2 linked regions of the Arabidopsis thaliana genome follow. The protein of the gene in region 1 interacts with the protein of each later gene in a pairwise test. Each region holds a gene or a part of one and is shown on either strand. Other genes may lie near its edges.

The links. Proteins that work in one complex are often made in the same cells at the same time.
Region 2: the proteins of CZF1 (region 1) and MYB105 interact in a two-hybrid assay, tested with the Arabidopsis thaliana proteins (one large-scale study listed by BioGRID).

Annotation. Positions count from the first base shown.
Region 1 is NC_003071.7:16,770,267-16,774,024, forward strand, and holds the start of CZF1 (zinc finger (CCCH-type) family protein), read left to right. Parts: upstream 1-1,730; 5' UTR 1,731-1,987; intron 1,988-2,262; 5' UTR 2,263-2,270; coding exon 2,271-3,758. UniProt on the Arabidopsis thaliana protein: Involved in salt stress response. May positively modulate plant tolerance to salt stress.
Region 2 is NC_003070.9:26,155,859-26,159,616, forward strand, and holds MYB105 (myb domain protein 105), read left to right. Parts: upstream 1-1,843; 5' UTR 1,844-1,848; coding exon 1,849-2,320; intron 2,321-2,396; coding exon 2,397-2,765; intron 2,766-2,848; coding exon 2,849-3,048; 3' UTR 3,049-3,236; downstream 3,237-3,758. UniProt on the Arabidopsis thaliana protein: Probable transcription factor that involved in boundary specification, meristem initiation and maintenance, and organ patterning. Functions in both lateral organ separation and axillary meristem formation.

The DNA.
Region 1 (3,758 bases):
AGAGAATAATGAGGAGTAAGTCAAATGATCAAATCCACGGACTAATCCATTATGTTTGATGTGACGAGAGAAAAATAAGTGAATATTTAATACTATATACTATAGTATATTTTTGCAAAAGTTAAAGGTGTTGCATTAATTTTTTGATAGCAAACAATTAAGGAAATGGGGGAAAAAGTGTAAGCGGGCGGCCAAGTGAAGACATTCTCTGTCGCCCACCCAAACACCAAAGAAGAGAAGGCGTGCCTCACTTTCCCTCTTTCTCCACGCACTTCTCCTTGCCCGTGTTTCTCACTCGCTTTACCCTAATCACTCCATTACAACTATACCTACAAGACCATTAAGATAAGCTTATCAATAAGAACACTGAGATAAAGTTGATCTCTATTTACGAATTGTTTACTACCAATAGATTTTGATTCGTACCAATCTTTTAAAGTATGTATGTATTGTTTGAATAGTAGTTCTACCGAACCAAAAATATTTTAATTGATCATGTAAAATATATTTAAGATTGTTGTGTGTTAATTATAGTGATCTTTAGAAAAAAGAGTAGCCAACGTGATAATGAAAGCGCGTGTTAAGAGTATTGAAACACTCACACGCTTGTGGAGGTTACCTGCTAAGTCGGTCGATTTGATCGATGGTGGGTCTTTTACACATCCCCAACGTCATTTACCATTTATTCAACCTCATATATTATGTTCTTGATGATGAAAAAGAACATAATATTTTTTTTTTTTTTTTTTTTTAATTTTTTTTTGATGATGATGAAAAAAAAAAATATTATGTTCTTTTTTAATTTCTTTTTAATATTTTTGACAGTAATTTTATTTTAATCTTATTTTGTTACAAATAGTTTTTAATACCTTAGGACCTGTTGGAACTTGGAAAAAAACAATATTTTTTAATATCTCAGGATCTTTGCCCATACATGTTTTGGGCACCCATGCGTTTATATGAAAAACAGCATGCAGATGTAAAATATAAACAACTGTAGATTTGGTCAGATGTTAAAATTTAAATTATGTCTTTTGAAATGTGACCTATAATTGTCCAGATAGATATACATAACTATTTAGTAATTGTAAGTCTATTTCCTGTAATGTATTCAGCTAAATGCATGTAGATAATCTGATATCACATACATCTATAGCCATATAGAGAATGCATAGTAACATCAACAACATATAAATTTTGGGCTATTTTCTAATGAGGGTTTTTGAGTATAAATGGATCTCCTAAAACGAGTTTACCGGATGGGTAAGGTAGTAGTTCCCTTTGAGTTTTCTTTCTGCTTTGTATAATTAAAACAAAGTAATTGATTAGGAACTTAGTAGGTCCTAAAGAGAACCAACAATGGTTTCGGTTATAAATAAACCAAATGGGTACATTATCCTTATATCTAGAAACTTTAACCAAAAACAAGATGTTATCTAGAAACAATAAATACATCCGGAATGAGACTTTTTCTTATGTAAGTCGATACAATGGGGGCATTGTTTTATTTCCCTTCAAATGAACTTTGCTTTTTGATCATTTTAAAAAGCCATATTGAAAAAATCAATGAGATAGGAAGATAGATATTATAATATTCTTTTTATAAAAAAGACAAAAAAAATACACTAAAACAATTGAATAAGAGTCAGCAAAACAACGACGTCCTTACCTTTTTTAAAAGTTTCCCAGTTTTGACTTTTGACCTAAACCATTTCCATGTAGAAAGAGAGCAAAAAACAAAACAAAACAAAGATAAGTAAAAAATAAAAATGATATAAAGAAGGAAGAAGAAGACCGAGAAAGGTAGACGAAAGAAAGAGCGTACCTTCCTCTTTCCTTCTTCGTAAAAACCAAGTTCCTTTTAAAAGGAGCCTCTCCTTTCTCATTTGATCCTTCTTCAAAAACCCCAACCACTTCTTCTCCCCAAAAACCTCCAAAGTTTCAATCTTTACTTCTCTCTTTTTCTCCAAGTTATCTTCTTTTCTAGGTATGTCTTGATTCTTTCTCTCTCTGTTTTTTCCTATTTCATTCAGGATTCTGGGTTTGGTTAAATCTTTAATCTTTATGGTTTTAATGGCTTGATTTTGACGAAACGGTCGTGTAATTATTCATTACTTTGCTTAAATTGGGGATTGATTTTGTGTATAAAGAAGAATCTTGAAAATGAAAAATTGAAACTTTGAATCGAAAGAACTCAATTTGCGTTGCTCTTTCTCATTCTTTGTTGCTTTCTCCTAAAAGTTTTTCACTTTTGAATCACAGGAAGAGATATGTGCGGTGCAAAGAGCAACCTTTGCTCATCTAAAACCCTAACAGAAGTCGAATTCATGAGGCAGAAATCAGAAGACGGAGCTTCCGCCACGTGTCTCCTCGAATTCGCCGCCTGTGATGATCTTTCATCGTTTAAGAGAGAGATCGAAGAGAATCCATCGGTGGAGATTGATGAGTCAGGGTTTTGGTATTGCAGACGGGTCGGGTCTAAGAAGATGGGTTTTGAAGAAAGAACACCACTTATGGTTGCTGCTATGTATGGAAGCATGGAAGTGTTGAATTACATAATTGCCACAGGAAGATCCGATGTGAACAGAGTTTGCAGTGACGAGAAAGTCACTGCTCTTCACTGTGCAGTTTCTGGCTGTTCTGTTTCTATCGTTGAGATCATCAAGATCTTGCTTGATGCTTCTGCTTCACCTAATTGTGTTGACGCTAATGGGAACAAACCGGTTGATTTGTTGGCTAAAGATTCTCGGTTTGTTCCTAACCAGAGTAGAAAGGCGGTTGAGGTTTTACTGACCGGGATTCATGGTTCGGTTATGGAAGAAGAGGAGGAGGAACTGAAGAGTGTTGTGACTAAGTATCCAGCTGATGCATCACTTCCTGATATTAACGAAGGTGTTTATGGAACTGATGATTTTAGGATGTTTAGCTTTAAGGTTAAGCCATGTTCTAGGGCTTATTCACATGATTGGACTGAATGTCCTTTTGTTCATCCTGGTGAGAATGCAAGGAGGAGAGATCCTAGGAAGTATCCTTACACTTGTGTGCCTTGTCCCGAGTTTCGTAAAGGGTCTTGTCCTAAAGGAGATTCGTGTGAGTACGCGCACGGTGTTTTCGAGTCTTGGCTTCACCCGGCGCAGTATAGGACACGGCTTTGCAAAGATGAGACTGGTTGTGCTAGGAGAGTTTGTTTCTTTGCTCATAGACGGGATGAGTTAAGACCGGTTAATGCTTCTACTGGTTCTGCAATGGTTTCACCAAGGTCGTCTAATCAGTCTCCTGAGATGTCTGTTATGTCTCCTTTGACGCTGGGATCATCGCCAATGAACTCTCCTATGGCTAATGGTGTTCCTTTGTCTCCAAGAAATGGTGGTTTATGGCAGAACAGAGTTAATAGCCTTACACCACCACCGTTGCAGCTTAATGGTAGCAGATTGAAGTCGACTTTGAGTGCTAGAGATATGGATATGGAGATGGAACTTAGGTTTCGCGGTTTGGATAACCGGAGACTTGGTGATCTCAAGCCATCCAACCTCGAAGAGACTTTCGGATCATATGACTCAGCTTCTGTGATGCAACTTCAATCACCAAGCAGGCATTCTCAGATGAACCACTATCCGTCTTCACCTGTGAGGCAGCCTCCTCCTCATGGATTCGAATCTTCAGCAGCCATGGCAGCTGCAGTGATGAATGCAAGATCCTCAGCGTTTGCGAAACGCAGCTTGAGTTTCAAACCAGCTCCAGTAGCTTCTAATGTCTCC
Region 2 (3,758 bases), on another chromosome or scaffold:
GATAACAAAATAAAAGTGAAGGTAATTGGGTTGGGTGTAGATATCCTTAATTAACCTGCTAATGGTTAGTGTTACTTTGTTAGTGCGTATCTTTGAAAAAGTAACTATCCATTCTCACATCTACTGTATGACACAAATTTAGTGTAAATTAAGAAAGTATATATTCAAAGTTATTGACCAAGAAAAAAGGACCATAGGAAATGTTGAGTTAATCTCTGCAGATGGACCGTACAAGTCTGCAGCAAATACTCTGAATCTGAGATAATGTATTCCTCTGCCAATTGATATCTTTTTGGTCAAATAAATACATCTACGTTATGCTTAAAGTCTCACCAAACCTAGGTATTTCCTTTGTATATATGGGATAATATATGTTTCGTATATGCATTTATAGCTGCACAATTAATTAATAATAAAAAAAGAAATACTTTACATTCTTTTTTAAAATTGCATTATGGTGTTATGAATATTCATATTGCGACAGAAATTCTAACGATAATAACTTAATAAGTCTAGCCGATCCCTTAAAAAAATGATTTATAACAGCGAATTCTGCGACATATGGTTGGATAGTTAATTTTAAAATCAGTAAATGGTAGAATTGATATGGCAACAAGTAGTCAAGACTATATGAAAAACGGACTCGTTTGGGAAGATCATTAACATTCACATTATGAAGAGACCGGCTATGTACGTAGAAAGAGGGTTTCATATAAACCATCAAAATGTCGAGAGTGAGAGATAAATGGGGATTGGTGAAAAGACATGTGAAGTGTGCGTGAGAGATATAATTGTGGTTAGAAAATAAAAGACGCAAGAGTCAAATCAAATGTATGCTTTGAGCCTTTTTGGCTGTTATAGTTGGGACTACTTCAGATGTTTAGTTTCATCCTCATTACTATTTCCAATTTTCGGTAGCAACCAACAACAACAACAAAATCATTAATTATTTTTTTAAAAAAAAAAGATTCTGTAAATTGTAGGTTTCTTTGTAAAGGAAAAACAAATAAACAACCAATTTGTGATGGTTTAGTGGTTAATTCAAATTGGTTGTGAGATAGAATTCAAAACTTTGATAATGCATGAGCAGTGACCACTATGAATGTATTAAATGACAAGAATACCTAACGCTTAATTCATATGTATCAAGCGGAAAATAGTTAAAACTTGGGGTGAAATCGCCTTGTTACTTGAACAAAAAAGAAAAAGAAGAAGATCATATTCATAGTTCGAAATTCAAACAAGATAATACCAAGATTTTGTTTGGCAAGCAATCGTAGAATAATATGATGTTTTGTTTGGGGCAACAAAGAACAAAAGCAGTTGAACTAAAAAAAAAGATGTTTACGGATGTTTAACAACTTTTCATCTCTCTCCACTTTTCCAAACACATCTCCACTGCTCACAACGTAGGAAACGTGTTCCCTGTCCTTTACTCTTTCTCTGTCCTAGCATTTTTATTTATTTCTTTCATCTCTATACGTTTCCACATTCCTAGTTTTTTCAAAATTAAGTAGTGACAATTATTGTGAAAATGTTATTGGATTTTATTGTAAATGTAGATTATAGCTATTTGGTTATAACTTAAACCAGAGATAATAATACTATTTATACAATAATCCTAAATTAAAATATCTAGAATGTAAATTAAACTGAGTGTTGAAAACAATTTACAATGCATAAATACAAATGTATAGAAATATATATCAGCTTTCAAATCAGTCCGTGACAGTCCATGAACCTTTTAACAGTTGTATAACAGCATTTTGTCAGAAAACAAGGTCACAACATATACATACACGCACATAGCTTAGAGCCATACGTAATAATATCACACAAATATCAATTATGATGTTCAAAGTCATATTTAATATTTGCTCTTCTCCTCCAATGAGGATGGAGATGGTGCATGCTGACGTGGCGTCTCTCTCCATAACACCTTGCTTCCCGTCTTCTTTGTCTTCGTCCTCACATCATCACTATAACCAACAACAACATTGTATCATGTCGGAAGATCAACACCATTCGATGGATCAGACCACTTCATCGGACTACTTCTCTTTAAATATCGACAATGCTCAACATCTCCGTAGCTACTACACAAGTCATAGAGAAGAAGACATGAACCCTAATCTAAGTGATTACAGTAATTGCAACAAGAAAGACACAACAGTCTATAGAAGCTGTGGACACTCGTCAAAAGCTTCGGTGTCTAGAGGACATTGGAGACCAGCTGAAGATACTAAGCTCAAAGAACTAGTCGCCGTCTACGGTCCACAAAACTGGAACCTCATAGCTGAGAAGCTCCAAGGAAGATCCGGTACGTTAATTCTGTCACTTGATTAAGCTTTTACAAGATTCACGTTCTTGAGATTTTGGGTGTTAATGTTGAGCAGGGAAAAGCTGTAGGCTTCGATGGTTTAACCAACTAGACCCAAGGATAAATAGAAGAGCCTTCACTGAGGAAGAAGAAGAGAGGCTAATGCAAGCTCATAGGCTTTATGGTAACAAATGGGCGATGATAGCGAGGCTTTTCCCTGGTAGGACTGATAATTCTGTGAAGAACCATTGGCATGTTATAATGGCTCGCAAGTTTAGGGAACAATCTTCTTCTTACCGTAGGAGGAAGACGATGGTTTCTCTTAAGCCACTCATTAACCCTAATCCTCACATTTTCAATGATTTTGACCCTACCCGGTTAGCTTTGACCCACCTTGCTAGTAGTGACCATAAGCAGCTTATGTTACCAGTTCCTTGCTTCCCAGGTTTGAGTTTTTGTGTTCTCTTTTCTTTCAGTTTTTAATTCCATATCATTTCTTAATTTTCTTCCATTTTTTGTACTATTTAGGTTATGATCATGAAAATGAGAGTCCATTAATGGTGGATATGTTCGAAACCCAAATGATGGTTGGCGATTACATTGCATGGACACAAGAGGCAACTACATTCGATTTCTTAAACCAAACCGGGAAGAGTGAGATATTTGAAAGAATCAATGAGGAGAAGAAACCACCATTTTTCGATTTTCTTGGGTTGGGGACGGTGTGATCATCATCGATCATGAACAAGACTGGCTTGAGTTAGTTAACAAAAGTTATGAGATGATTTGAGTCCTTGTCGATGTAGTTATGTTGCGTTAATAATTGTAGATTAAATGTTGTTGTCCTTAGTCACATGCAACATTCCTTACCCCGTGTTAATTAGCACGTACATATATACCACTCGTTGGTTAAAATCAATGCTTTCATTTATGTAGATGCCAAATTGTCTCACCTTTACCAAAATTGATTTGAAGTGTAAAACATTTGTACCACTTTATAGTTCTAACTAACTCTTATCTTATATGAAAATGTCAGATTCCGTCATTAATGTCCAAAAATTGTATGGAGTGAGAGTAACAACATGCTTCGTATATGAAGAGGAAGGTGACATATGTTAAAACAGGGACGATGATGTGGATATAAGAAACGACAAAGAACGATAGAGAAGTCAAATTAAAAGGAATAATGTACTACATTGTATTTATTTGGAGTATGCAGAAGTTTAATAACAACATGCGATATTGATGAGGTTGCAAGATTCAGGCACAGATTCTGCAACAGAAAGTCCAAACATCCACTCTTTAATATTCTCACACCCATTGCATTTTTTTATTCTCTCCAAAGCAAAAACATATTTTCATTTCATTGCCCCTTACTTATGCGTCTCATCGACCTCATGTCACCCACATGGCCCCTTCTCCTAGTTATTGTTCATTG